Linked DNA regions of Xenopus tropicalis. The protein of the gene in region 2 purifies or fractionates together with the protein of the main gene of each other region. This does not show direct contact. Links are inferred from orthologs where the notes say so. Each region holds a gene or a part of one and is shown on either strand. Other genes may lie near its edges.

Region 1 (5,171 bases), on a different chromosome or scaffold from region 2:
TCCCAGGCAAGGCCGCAGACAACATAGCACAGGAGGAGGCGTTTGATAGCTTTAAATACCCCCCACGCATGCACAGAACTGGTGCTGTCAGCGCGTCGCGGACGTGCACGCTTTGACATGTACGTGCGCAAGGAGGCGTGCGAGACCAGCCCACACGGGTGAGTACCCTGACACCCCGGTATTGCGGTATCTGAAAAATGAATATAGTTTTAAAAAAAAAAACACCGGTATTCGGTATTAAGCGGTATATCGCCCAGCCCTAATAATTTATATAATAAGCTGCTGTGTAGCCATGGGGGCAGCCATTCAAGCTGGAAAAAAGGAGAAAAGACACAGGTTACATAGCAGATAACAGATAAGTTCTGTAGAATACAATAGTGTTTTATCTGTTATCTGCTATGTGCCTGTGCCTTTTCTCCTTTGAACGGCTGCCTCCATGGCTACAGAGCAGCTTATTTATAGAAATTATAGTAGACTTTCTGAAGTAAACACACAACTTTTACCAGTGCAGGGCAGCAGCACATTATATTTTAGTTTACACTTTCATTTTTTGGTGTTACTGTTCCTTTAAAACATTTTCAATGAGGAAAGGAGAGAGAATCTTCCCCCCTATGTGGCATTACCTGGTGACGCCATCGGAAAAGACTGGCAGTGTCAATGTTGGGATGAGTGTCATCTTCGTCATCAGAAACTTCAATGTGGTCCCACACGCTATAATCCACCATTGTGTAGCAGAGATCAGACAAACAAGAGATTCACTGAAATGAAGGGCATAAAGAAAGACTTGTTTACAAGAATTCAAACATATAAAAGGTCTATATTACTACTTGCTACAGAAGCAGCTCCTGTGTGTCTAGAAAGCCTGATGTATCCATAAGGCCCTAAGCACGATCCTCTTATGTCTTAAGTGTTCATAATTATCTCCAAAATACCTCGACAGAGCCAATGCAATTCCAGCAGTTACTAGTACCTACTGTCATAACTGCTTCTGCCTCATCACTATCAAGGACTGAATCTAGGGCCAAACGGTAATGGAGCCTTTCTAATCTTTTTGTCTCTACAAAATGCATTGAAGGACTATCTGTCCTGTGTTGAATTTCCCCCACTAAAAGCTAATACAGAGGTCTTCAAGCTCCCCCTAACTGGACTTCAGGCTGGGCCCCCTTAGCTCATAACAAGGTTACAGATATATAGAAACATTGGGGTAACAGTCACCCTGCTATAGTTCCAGGGGTACCCAGGGCACAAATAAGCACTCACCCCAAATCTCCCCTAACTGGCCTTCAGGCTGGGCCCCCTTAGCCCATAACAAGGTTACAGATATATAGAAACACTGGGGTAACAGTCACCCTGCTATAGTTCCAGGGGTACCCAGGGCACAAATAAGCACTCACCCCAAATCCCCCCCCTAACTGGCCTTCAGGCTGGGCCCCCTTAGCCCATAACAAGGCTACAGATATATAGAAACATTGGGGTAACAGTCACCCTGCTATAGTTCCAGGGGTACCCAGGGCACAAATAAGCACTCACCCCAAATCCCCCCCTAACTGGCCTTCAGGCTGGGCCCCCTTAGCCCATAACAAGGTTACAGATATATAGAAACATTGGGGTAACAGTCACCCCGCTATAGTTCCAGGGGTACCCAGGGCACAAATAAGCACTCACCCAAATCCCCCCCTAACTGGCCTTCAGGCTGGGCCCCCTTAGCCATAACAAGGTTACAGATATATAGAAACATTGGGGTAACAGTCACCCTGCTATAGTTCCAGGGGTACCCAGGGCACAAATAAGCACTCACCCCAAATCCCCCCCTAACTGGCCTTCAGGCTGGGCCCCCTTAGCCCATAACAAGGTTACAGATATATAGAAACATTGGGGTAACAGTCACCCTGCTATAGTTCCAGGGGTACCCAGGGCACAAATAAGCACTCACCCCAAATCCCCCCCTAACTGGCCTTCAGGCTGGGCCCCCTTAGCCCATAACAAGGTTACAGATATATAGAAACATTGGGGTAACAGTCACCCTGCTATAGTTCCAGGGGTACCCAGGGCACAAATAAGCACTCACCCCAAATCCCCCCCTAACTGGCCTTCAGGCTGGGCCCCCTTAGCCCATAACAAGGTTACAGATATATAGAAATATTGGGGTAACAGTCACCCCACTATAGTTCCAGGGGTACCCAGGGCACAAATAAGCACTCACCCCAAATCCCCCCCTAACTGGCCTTCAGGCTGGGCCCCCTTAGCCCATAACAAGGTTACAGATATATAGAAACATTGGGGTAACAGTCACCCTGCTATAGTTCCAGGGGTACCCAGGGCACAAATAAGCACTCACCCCAAATCCCCCCTAACTGGCCTTCAGGCTGGGCCCCCTTAGCCCATAACAAGGTTACAGATATATAGAAACATTGGGTAACAGTCACCCTGCTATAGTTCCAGGGGTACCCAGGGCACAAATAAGCACTCACCCCAAATCCCCCCCTAACTGGCCTTCAGGCTGGGCCCCCTTAGCCCATAACAAGGTTACAGATATATAGAAACATTGGGGTAACAGTCACCCTGCTATAGTTCCAGGGGTACCCAGGGCACAAATAAGCACTCACCCCAAATCCCCCCCTAACTGGGGGATATATAAAGTTACTTTTCTGTTATGGTGAGTAAATTTCCTGGTATAATTTTGTCTCTACATCCTTCCTGGCAAATCAAAAAAACAACAGTAATGTAATATTTGATGGTTACCCCCCCCCCCCCCCAGATGTGACAGTGCGACCCCCCAACTCCTGCTTTACTTGCCACATGTCAGGGACTAGAATCAGAAACATGGCAGGGATATGGGGGGGGGGGGGGTAGATGAAAATAATATACTGTGCCCCAGCCATTAATGATGATAAAGCCTGGCTCCCAGATATTGTTAGACTACAACTCCCAGTATACTTTAAGTCTGGAGTATATGTTCAATAATTGTGAGAGTTGTAGTACAGCTACCCGGGCAAGAACAGCGCTCACTATACCAGGGAGTATTGCTTAATGCCTTAAACTGTTGCCCAAACAGCCTGTCCGTATAGGTAAATAGGATATAGCAGCACCGCAGGCAGGTATAAGAGAAATAGCCAGCTGTGGGAAGAAGCCATTACCTGGCACACCAGGGTGCAGCTGCAGGCCCCCTCGCAAGCTTCTGGAAAGCTCCTGCACTCTCTGCCTCAGCCTGCCCACTCCATGACATCACTTCCTTAACCTCGACGCGGCTGATTTGCCCTTACGCTAGAGTCTTCGGGCCGACTTCCTTTTTTGCCTATTCCATTCTCCTTGCGTCACTTCCGCCTTTGCTAGACAGGCAGGTTTGTTCTTGCTGCCGTAGGGAGTGGTTTGTGGAGGGGAATTGGAGATAGAAACGGCTTTATAGGATGGTATGCGAAGGGTTTTTCCACAATCAACATTATAGGCGGCCCAAGGGGGAGGAAAACATGAAACAACTGCTTATATTGTGAAAGGGGAACACCATCCGGAATCTGTTTTATTTTAACTTAATTCTAGGCAGCTTTCTGGTATACATACATTAAAAAGAAAAATAAATCATTTTGATATTTTGTGATTTTTGTTCAAAGCAGCGTCTGCCTGGCTGTTACTGTTGTTTGCGCTGCTGGTTCTGACTCCTGAAACAATGTAGCAAAACCAGAGAACAGAAAGGGATATACAAATACTGCTTGTCGTTACAATTGTAAATATAAATCACTTTGAAGCAATATATAATTGGTTTCCATTAGGTATTGGTTGAGGGTCAGTTACCAAATGTGCCTAATTGCCAGGCAAGCAGATCTGTGCTTTAAGGTGGCCATACACGTGCCGATTTTAGCGGCCGATATCGGTCCCTTAAGGTGTCCATACACGTGAAGATCCTACGGGTGGGTGATATCGGGGAACATGTAGGCAAATTTGATCGTTTGGCCCTGGGGCCAATCGAATTATAATGGCAATGGGGCAGTTGGTTCGGGGACTGCATCAACGAGCCGATGCGTTCCCCGATCCAACTAAATCTTTTAACCTGCCCGATCAATATGTGGCCAATGTGAGTCTAGATATCGGTCGGGCGTGCTCCTCGTTCCTGCCCCTACACGGGCCAATAAGCTTCCGAAACAGTCCAAGGGACCGATATTGGCAGCTACAATCGGCCCGTGTATGGGCACCTTTTGACCGATTCGGCAGCTTATTGGCCCGTGTAGGGGCACGAACGACGGGCCTGCATGACCGACATCTGGCCTGAAATCGGGCAGGTTAAAAAATTTTGACGGATCTGGGACCGCATCGGCTCGTTGATGCAGTCCCCAAAATGACTTGCCTATACCCGTCATTATAATTCCGTAGTTTGGCCCCAGGGCCAAATGACCAAATTAGCCTTCTTCAGGCATAAAAACAAGTGCATTGAACTTGATTAAATAGTCTCACACTTCATTAGCACACACAATTGTGCAATTAGCATATTTAACCTTTAAACAATCTGTAAAAGCCATTTCAAAGTGTAAAAAAGCATAATTTTATAATAACTCTTCTACTAGTTTAAAGCCCAGGTGGGGTTCCAATGTACAGCCAAGGTACAGATTTGGGCTATTTTTTAGCGCCTTGGCGGGTTTGTAGTTTGGAAACTAGCCAAAGTTTTTCCCTCTAGTGTGGCTGTCCCACTGCATGCTGGGTAATGTAGTTTGTATCTAACAATTAGCCTACAGCTAGGATTAATATAAAACTACAATCAATACCCAGCATGCAGTTGGGCAGTATAGACAGAGGCTCCATTTTGTATTCTTTTTTGCTCTTTCAGACTCAACCTGCATGTTCTGCAACCTGCTCCCTGCTCTATAGGGTATGTGATTGTACCATTACTTTCTATTGGGATGTGGGGGCAGTTCTGCAGTTGGTCCTTAAGCTTTAACTCTCAGGATACCTTGGGGCTTCTGAGAGTTGTAGTTCAACGCACCCATATATGTTTCAAGTCTGGGGTTAATGCAACATTCGGAATCTATTTCTGTAGTGACAGACTACTACTGGACTGGGCACAGAGGGCAGGGAATTATCAGCCATCCCAGTAACTGGGTAGTGATTATACACTTTAAAAAGGCAGGTTTACCCATATGTTTTTTTATTTTTTTAGAATTTTTTTCATTGCACATATTGGG
Region 2 (4,579 bases):
GACACAGTGACACAGAGAAGCACAGAAGGAGCAGGCAAGCACTGGCGCAAGCGTGGCGCGCTCGGCGGGGTGGTGCGAGCCCAGCAGGGGAATCCAAGATGGCAGGCCGTGACAGGCTGGAAATACAGCTAACGAGCCAATTTTTGGGAGAAGTGACCATTATTTTAAAAAATAAATTTGGCGATTTGCTATGGGCAAGGGGACTCTACACTATATTAAGGGCTACAGTAGTAGCCTTTCCTTGCTCTTTAACTTCCTACATAAAACTCAAGTTAGTTAATATTTATTGTTAGGATCTGTGGTTATAAAAATGGCAAAATATTGGTCATAAAGCATGGTAATGCTTTGTTGGGGAAAAAAAGGCAAATTTGTTCAAATTATTTTAGCGTTGCCCTGTTCAATAAATGTACCAAACATACTATAATATTACAAACTGTTTTAGGAACACATACAACATTTTTAATACAAGTAATGGCAATGGCACAGGGTAAGATTTCTCATCAGAGGTTAAATCTAAGCTACTGCAGGCAACAAATCATTCATTAACCAGATAAGTGTTATCAAACATGGCCAGCCTCTGGTGCTGGTAGATGTTAGCTAGCGCTGTACCAAGAAGAGCATACCTACCTACTCCAACACTGGGGAATCCCTGAGTCTTTAGCTGTGAAGATATCTGCATGCCTTGTGGGGTGCTATTTCTGCTGTCATCCATGCCCAAAGATGAATCTTTCCTCGGTACTTTGGGAACTGTGAGATCATCACCCATCCCAAGTTGTTTTTGCCTTCTGCGTTTTTTACTCCACAACTCATGACAATCCTGCCAAAGGGGTAGGCTGCAAAGTAAGGAGAAAAATATTACAGATGATAGGAGCAGTATAATCCCTTTTCAGGCCGACACGGACACTAAAAAAACTACTCTTCAAATTATTAATGTACATTAAAAGTTACCTATAGGTCATGTTGATCATTTTTTACTAATAGGTATGAATTTGTAAATAATTGTTACTTGAAGTTTCTAAACGGGACTGTTTTACCAACCTGACTGTCCCTTCCCAATCTGTCAGTTACAGCTTCTAATGCTAACAAACTCCTGCTGCACAAATATGGCAGCCCCCTCATAGAGGAATATAGGGGATACGATAGGTAATGCAAAAGTAACAGGCAAATACTTTTATAGCAGAATTATACATAGCATGCAATACAAGACAATGTTATGATACATGTAATAAAAGGTTTAATTCCGTGTCAGTATCTCTTTAAAGAATAAGTAAACTTTTTTTTTTCTATTAATAAAATTACTCTATATAGCTTCCCCAAATTGCCTAACTTTGTGCCTCTGTTCTTTCTGACCTGGTTCCTGAGTTACAAGCTGCTCCGCCCCCACTTCCTGTTCAGGTCTCCCATTATATCAACTACCTCTAGTAGAAGTGGAGAGCCTTCTGCGCATGCCTGGAGGCAGCAGGAGCCAGTGCATTAGCAGGGTTTTTTTCTTGACGAGAGACCTGAACAGGAAGTGGGGGCGGGTCTTCACTCTGAACAAGGAAGGAGAGGAATCGAGCAGCTTGTAACTGAGGAACCAGGTCAGAAAGAACAGAGTGACAAAGGTAGGTAATTCTGGAGGCTGTTTAGAATAATTTTACTGATAAACATTTTTTTTTTCTAACAAGAATAAATCTATATAAACAGCCAAATTAAAACCACTCTTCTATAACTGCAGGGGAATTCAGACCAGCAAATAAGCACTAGCCCCCAATTTCACCTAACTTTTTAAGAAAATAAAATATTTATAATGATTTTTAAAAATATTGAGCTTGGGAATTATCAGAATTTCATTTGGGTGTCAAACAATTTTTTCTTCACTGGTGAGACTGAAGTTTCAGCAGGCCCCCTGGGGCCAATTTCACCTTTTCACTGAACTAGAAAAAGTATTTTAGAAAAGTTCTACTTGGCTATGCAGGCTATACAAATAATGGACCATGGATATTCTAACAAACCCAGCATTCTGGGTGCTATGGCCAGTACAACACATTAATGAATGAGCAATAGTTGCAAAACAACTGCAAAAAAGACTGGCACACACTATGGGAAAACCGTTAGTACTTACTCTGGCGGTGTCATTTTTGAGGGATCTACATCCCGAAGGAATTCACAAAGTAGGGCTTGCTCTGCTGTACAACGCTTGTTTGGATCTAGAGCCAGCATATGGTCAAAAAGATCTAAAGCTGCATTGGGGATGCTTGGGGAAGAAAAAAAAACCAGCTACATGTTAAAAGTGAACAGTAAAATACTACTTGAAATAATACAAATCAAATTAAGTCATCATAGAACTAGAGAATTTGCCATTACATTGAAAACAGGCATCTCTCGTAGGGGTGCTGCTGCCACAAGGTGAGTTGAGAAATTTGCCTCAGGCCCTCGGCAAGTTAGAAGAGGCAGCCAATAGACACTCCTGGTAACTTAAAGAGTTGAAATTCCGATTTTTACATTGGGATTTTGTCTGTTATAGAGGAGAGTGCCTCTACAATGTATAAAAAGGAAGTGTGTGGGGTGGTTTTTACTTGGCCACCTCAGGATAGCAAGAAGCCCTGAGACCGCGCTGATCATGTGGCACCCTGCAGAAGGAAATCTATGCAGACATACCTCTCACCTTGCTTAAATCTACCCACAAAAGCTGGGAAACACAATGAGTGATATTGAACCTACTCTCCAAAAAATAAAAATAAATCACGCTACCTTCTACTTCCTGACAAGATCCTATGAGCAACTAATCTGCTTGTCTGTCATTGCCCTTAGAGATGTTTTTCAAGTTTGTGTTTATTTACCTGGCCTGTTACTGGCTTGTCTTGACCGCTACTACCCCCCACTATTTGAGTTGGTATGCAAAAACACAATTGATTGCAAATCTGCAATGTCCAAAATTTACTGTGTTTTATAATTATTCAGCCACCCAATGATTTCATACAAATAGGTCTTTGGAGATGTTTGATATGCTAGGAGCCACAGGATTCTCCTGGATGCTACATCCTGGGAACAGGCCTTCTCTTGCACTATGCAATAAACAACCCCAGGAGCAGAATTTTTTTCATATACTACAATTACAGTATATATCAGTTGTTACATTTGTTAAATCAGTCTATCTGTGCAATGATAAGGATTAATCACAAAAAGAATGGCATATGGGAAGAATTATAAAATTATAGTAAATATTAAATGTAAAAAAAAAAAAAAAAAAAAAAGTACAGCAATACTTACAAAACAAACTCCTCTCTAAGTTTTCTACGATACTGTTTCTTTGGTTTCATGGTGTTGAAATACGGTAACTTTATAACATCTGGCCATACAGCAGGACAAGGACTTCCACACATTCGGCTTAAGAAAAAAAAAAAAAAAATAGTATTGTTATTATGCAACAGAGGATTAATTATATTATATATATCTGGAATGCTTAGGACCTGTATTTAAAAAAAAAAAAATTTGAAAAAGGTCCCAAAAGGGACCGAAACGTCGGTTGTACATGCAATTATAATACACAAGAGACTTTTTGAAACACAAAGACCCTTGGTGCTGGCTGTTTTATTTTGATATTTATATGATATCCCGTGCACAGGGGAGATTTTGGAGTGTGGTGCTGTCGTGTGGACTGTTTTTTATATTATATATATATATATATATATATATATATATATATGGCTTACGCACTATAATTAGTTAAATTCCCCTTAGACTTGTGTATGAACAGTACGTAAACCAGATTTTCAAAATCTATTCTACCGTGCATATGCAAGGAAAAAGGCTGAGGCACACACTTATAGGGATAACAACCTGGGTGCAAATCAGATAAACAGTGTAAATATGTAAAAAATGCTGATGCACACCAGGAAAATGTAATAAAAAAAAATACTTATTTTATTTAGATCAAATCCATTTATTTTTTAAATACAGGTCCTAAGCATTCCAGATAATAGATCCTAAGCTGATCACGAAGAAACCTTTTTTAATTCTTTGTCTAGAAATGGTAGATAAAAATAAATGCACATTTACACAACTCACCTTATAAGTTCAAGCTGTGCAAGCTCCTGATTTGCTTGGAAGATTGGTTTTTTTGTAAACAGCTCACCCAGGATACAGCTGAAACATGGGAAATTTAAATAGTAACCTAGTTATTAATCAGTAGAATGTTATTTAACTCCTTCCATGTTGTAACATGAAAAATTCACTTCATAATCAGTCCTTAGATTTCCAGAATCTTCCTAGTTGACACACCACTGGCTGCAGTATCATCATCTGTTATGCAGCCATCAAAGAAACCAATTGGAACATCTCTGCAGGTATGGGATCCTATATTCAGAAACCAATTACCCAGAAAGCTTCAACTATAAGAAGGCCATGTCCCATAGACTCAATTTTAATAATGTAGGGACCCATAGGGTTAACATGTCCCTATGGCTTTAAACACTACAACTTTCTTAGTCTGCGCTGTTACTGGCCAAAGACCCATGTATTAGTTTATTGTTTTGCATGTGTGTCTTATTGTTTAAACAGGAAGACCACTCCTTTGGCACTCTGATATAGTGTTTAG
Region 3 (5,185 bases), on a different chromosome or scaffold from region 2:
TTACTGTTTCTGTACTAAGTCATGGGACATCATTACACATTTAATATTTAGAAGTAAATATTTTACAGGTCATTGATAGATCTTATGTAATATCATTTTACTCTAAATATACTTTAAAAAAATACAGATGAAAAGTGACAAGTTACAGTGAAGGATACAACCCTAGTCGGGTTCCAACATCAAATATGAACCGAGCCCCTTCTCTCCGGTATCTTGCCTCTGTAGCAGGATCAAGCCCCTCCAGCTGTGATGGAGTATGGGCCAGGTCTTTCTTATCCCAATACCAGCATGGCTTTGCATGGTCCAGGCTTGCAGGAGCAGTGGAAGGGCTAGAATTCTCCTTATTCTCTTTCATTGATGCAGTTTTACCTTTGAAACACAGGTTAGATCTGAAAAGAAATATAAACTCATAAGCAAACAAGCTCACAATATTCTGTCTGCGATATGAAATAAAAACCTTTTTGTGTTTAAATGACCTGTAACAACAGGAAATGAATGTATATATAATCAATATACGGCATTGGCCTGCACTCAAAGGTCTTAATAAGCATGACAAAACTGTGGCAAGAAGGGAGGTGAGTGACACTTTTTTTTTTTACTTTGACAAAGGCACTTAATAAAAGTTGTCACGCTTCCTAAGACAGCAAGTATGGACCTATGCCTTATATTGATTAAATTATTATACAACATAGGCTGTACCCAGGCACACTGGATATCTGTTAAACATGAGTGCCGGCAGAGTTACTGTTGATATATTTACAGTATATCAGCAGGAGGATCAGCACACCAATATTACAATTTTAATAAAACAGTTTTATTTTTAATTACCTTTTACAGGGAGAGAGTATCTAATTTGCTACTGCTCTTGTAAGATAGAGACCTTCCTATAGTATAGCAAGCAATGTTACTCTCTGCTGACTGATCTTACTTAAGAGGGATCTCAACCCAAAAAATGTTATCCTAATGCTTTATTATTCTCTCTTCACTGCAATCAGGTAGAAAGCAGTGCCCCATACACATGTCAATGCCACCCACACTAATCTATGGCAAACAGCAGCTGAAGCATGTATGGAGGTGATGGGTAGCCCTCTACACAAAGATGCTTACAATACTGCCAATAACACAAATCAATTCCAGATATTGTTCACGTGGGTGGCAAAACTAGAGAAAGAACCACACCTGCTGCACCCAATCATGTGATTAATTTTAATTTCCATAACAAAGCAGGCATTTTTAAAAACAGTTGTACTAGGATGTGTTTTCTTTTCAAAGTTCTAGCACTTTGTCTATCTTTTTGAAAAGTATTATCAACCTGTATGGCCAGTTACATTTAGACAGGTGTTTTTAAGCAGGTGTAGTTATGTCACCACTTTGTGCTTTAGGCTGCAGGTTTGCCATACAACCCTATAGGAAACACTGACAGTAGGATAAGGGCACTTTTCACCTGGACCAACTTGTGTCTTTTCTCATTGAGTAACACTGAACATAAAATGTACACACATTATACCAACAACCACAATCTGAATTTACATGACAGCATTTAGCATAAAGTTCCCACACAACCTAACACTTTTAGCTCACACTAAAAAAAGGCCATAAGTGGCAGACAAGGTCCCGTGGAAGACAGACAGACACGCAGACAGAAGGTCCCGTGGAAGACACGCAGACAGAAGGTCCCGTGGAAGACACGCAGACAGAAGGTCCCGTGGAAGACACGCAGACAGAAGGTCCCGTGGAAGACACGCAGACAGAAGGTCCCGTGGAAGACACGCAGACAGAAGGTCCCGTGGAAGACACGCAGACAGAAGGTCCCGTGGAAGACACGCAGACAGAAGGTCCCGTGGAAGACACGCAGACAGAAGGTCCCGTGGAAGACACGCAGACAGAAGGTCCCGTGGAAGACACGCAGACAGAAGGTCCCGTGGAAGACACGCAGACAGAAGGTCCCGTGGAAGACACGCAGACAGAAGGTCCCGTGGAAGACAGACAGAAAGTCCTGCAGAAGACAGACAGAAAGACAGAAGGTCCAGCGGAACACAGACAGACAGACAGAAGGTCCCGTGGAACACACACACACACACACAGACAGAAGGTCCTGTGGAACACACACAGACAGACAGAAGGTCCCGTGGAACACACACACACACACACACACACACAGACAGAAGGTCCTGTGGAACACACACAGACAGACAGAAGGTCCCGTGGAAGACAGACAGACAGAAGGTCCCGTGGAAGACAGACAGACAGAAGGTCCCGTGGAAGACAGACAGAAAGTCCTGCAGAAGACAGACAGAAAGACAGAAGGTCCAGCGGAACACAGAAAGACAGAAGGTCCTGCGGAACACAGACAGACAGAAGGTCCTGCGGAACACAGACAGACACAAGGTCCTGTGGAACACAGACAGACACAAGGTCCTGTGGAACACAGACAGACACAAGGTCCTGTGGAACACAGACAGACACAAGGTCCTGTGGAACACAGACAGACACAAGGTCCTGTGGAACACAGACAGACACAAGGTCCTGTGGAACACAGACAGACACAAGGTCCTGTGGAACACAGACAGAAGGTCCTGTGGAACACACACAGACACACAGAAGGTCCCGTGGAACACAGACAGACAGACAGACAGACAGACAGAAGGTCCCGTGGAACACAGACAGACAGACAGAAGGTCCTGTAGCGGAATGAGGCCCGAGTTTCATCTTACAGGTTGAACAGAATATGGCACTTATTTCTAATCTGCGGCCCAAGTGAGGCCTAGGAACCAAAGGCAATGCGTTGGTAACACAAAAATCGCCGTTCATGCAACAATGAATAGACCCCTATGAACCCTACATGCTTTCACCAACAGCCCTGAACTTCCCTTGTACTTACACTCTTAACTCTTCTAAGACCCCGTCCCTTTCCCTATCAGCAATCGTCCCATAAATCATTGCTATATATATTATATACATATGTATGTAACTGTACGCTCAAGCAATGGGAATGGCAGCCGACCCCGCAATCAATCCTCACACTTACCAGGCACCAGCCTACACGCTACTTCCCCTCGGGAGCCAGGACGCTAGCAGCACAAGCAGCTTTCAGCGGCCATCTTGGAGTAAATGGGCCGCATCACGTCACTACTCGCAGCCCATACTCCTCCCGAATGTCTAAGAAAGGAGACATAACTGAAGCAACCAATTACGACTAGTAGCGTCAAGCGGAGGTGGGTGGAGTTGTGCACTTGTCTCGGAGCAACCAAACTTCGATGTTGAAGCTTTAGCTTTCAGTGCTGGATGAGGGGCGGCCCTGCATGGGGACTGCCAGGACAAGCGGCCAATAAGAGCTTGAGGAAGCCAGATTGCCTTCCAATCACTGATGGCTAGCTGGGAAATGACGCTTACCCCTGGAGTACTGGGGTTAGGTTGAGAAAAGCTCATCTTGCATGTCTTAGCCGCAGTCGGTGTGTTTTTCGTGATTCTCCGTGGCCGTTTTTGACTACTGTAATTTCCAGGGCGACGAGGGGAGGGGAGGAGGGAGGTAAGTTCTTGGTTCTTTAATACAGTGTCCACAATGTCGGCCTGCTGCGCAGTGCGGCACTACATGTTTCACAAGAGCTTGCACTTTCTGGGCTGCCTGTACATAAAGCTTGTAATGGGGAAAAAGTATTGGGCACATATGAATTAGGGGAGGTACATGTTTGCTGCACTACATCTTAGCACATAGCTATAGCTTGGTAGTTAATGTAATACTCTAAATAGACTCTAATGTATATTGTATCCATTTGGGGGTTTTAGATCTTATTAGTTGTAAAGCTTATTAAAGAAGACCATGATAACGCATGTAAGACCATTAAAAAAACATTTTGATTCAGGTTTTGCAAAACAAGCCCAGTGCTGTACAGCAAGAAATGTCACCAAGTGAAAGCCATTATGCAATATTTAGGGGGTTAAGCAATTTCTTCTTTTCAGCTCTGTATTTCTGCCAGGATAAGACAAACATAATTTAGTAGGTATGTGTTTTATGTTATTTGCTCAACCCCCTTGGGTGCCAATCTCTATTTTCCTGAGCAGAAGTTTATTGATAGTACAGTTGCTGGTTTGTTTTCCGGCAGCAGCTCTTTTGGAAGATATTTTAGGGCTATGAGACTGAAGGCATGCTTTTGATATGCCAGTAAATGAGCAATGTTCCTGGCCAGACAGCAGAGATCATACTACCATTCTGTAATTTTGTACAGATTCTGACCCACTAACGTTGCATAAAAAAGGGTACACAGTCCACCGCCCCCCCCCCCCCCAAATGCCTAGACGGAACATTGCTCAAGGGATAGTACTAAAACACAGGCCATTTTTGCAGATATTGTTAAATTAAAGACAATGACTCTACAGCCAACATGCAAGAAGATTAATTGGTTTTGTATATACCTGACCATAGTGTTTAACAGATTGGGAATGAAGGTAGCAAGCTCCCACTGGAGAAGGAGTGATAGGAATGATGAATGCTCTGTTTAAAGAGCTACAACATGTGGTGGTGCTGTTAGTGTACTTTGCTGAATAAAGGAATCATTGTCTGGTTTCCATCTTACAATACTATACATGGCCCCAAACACACTACCCCACTGATGTACTGCTACTGTACACCAGTCTTGTCAAAATCTTTTCCACATCAAGGAATAACAATAGTTTACCTGATCTGAGAGTTTGCCATCCAGTGTTTTGTCAGCCCCTTCTCTTAGTTTTTAACTGGATCATACATATATAAAAGCTGCATTGTAAGGGCCATGCAACTGTCATTTTAATAGTATACAGTACTGCAAATAAGAATTAAACTTACATCTCTCCCTAATTATATCTCCTATTCTCTGCACTTGGTCCCTAGGGGGAGCCAGGTCAGTCTGCAAATCTTTAAATGTCCTAAAATCTAGGCCTAGATGTCTACAGTAGTAATGCACAGGTTGACAAAAAGCCAGCCCGTGCCTGACCCTAATCTGTCCTTCCCCAACTCAAAACTAACCCAACTCAGTGTGCTATTACTTATATAAATGTATCTGACCCATCCCATTTTGATAACACTGAAGGAGGTGGGCAGGTGCAAGTATATAAATAACTGTCTGGAAGGAACTGAAGGATGAGGAATCTGAATGTGCAGCTGCTGCAGGCAGCATGGGTAAGTGAACACAGTTCAGCCCGCCACTTA

The links.
Region 1: the proteins of cdk13 (region 2) and cdc37 purify together in Homo sapiens (affinity purification with mass spectrometry; 3 studies listed by BioGRID and IntAct, with this or other methods). This does not show direct contact. The link is inferred for Xenopus tropicalis from reciprocal best matches to the Homo sapiens genes CDK13 and CDC37.
Region 3: the proteins of cdk13 (region 2) and ccnk purify together in Homo sapiens (affinity purification with mass spectrometry; 4 studies listed by BioGRID and IntAct, counting the BioPlex papers as one, with this or other methods). This does not show direct contact. The link is inferred for Xenopus tropicalis from reciprocal best matches to the Homo sapiens genes CDK13 and CCNK.

The regions. Positions count from the first base shown.
Region 1 is NC_030679.2:137,666,773-137,671,943, forward strand, and holds the start of cdc37 (hsp90 co-chaperone Cdc37), read right to left. Parts: upstream 3,160-5,171; 5' UTR 3,138-3,159; intron 759-3,137; 5' UTR 726-758; coding exon 624-725; intron 1-623. UniProt on the Homo sapiens protein: Co-chaperone that binds to numerous kinases and promotes their interaction with the Hsp90 complex, resulting in stabilization and promotion of their activity. Inhibits HSP90AA1 ATPase activity.
Region 2 is NC_030682.2:64,599,497-64,604,075, reverse strand, and holds part of cdk13 (cyclin-dependent kinase 13), read right to left. Parts: intron 4,129-4,579; coding exon 4,051-4,128; intron 3,370-4,050; coding exon 3,253-3,369; intron 2,237-3,252; coding exon 2,105-2,236; intron 834-2,104; coding exon 628-833; intron 1-627. UniProt on the Homo sapiens protein: Cyclin-dependent kinase which displays CTD kinase activity and is required for RNA splicing.
Region 3 is NC_030684.2:90,613,176-90,618,360, reverse strand, and holds the start of ccnk (cyclin-K), read right to left. Parts: upstream 3,100-5,185; 5' UTR 3,029-3,099; intron 390-3,028; 5' UTR 356-389; coding exon 159-355; intron 1-158. UniProt on the Homo sapiens protein: Regulatory subunit of cyclin-dependent kinases that mediates activation of target kinases.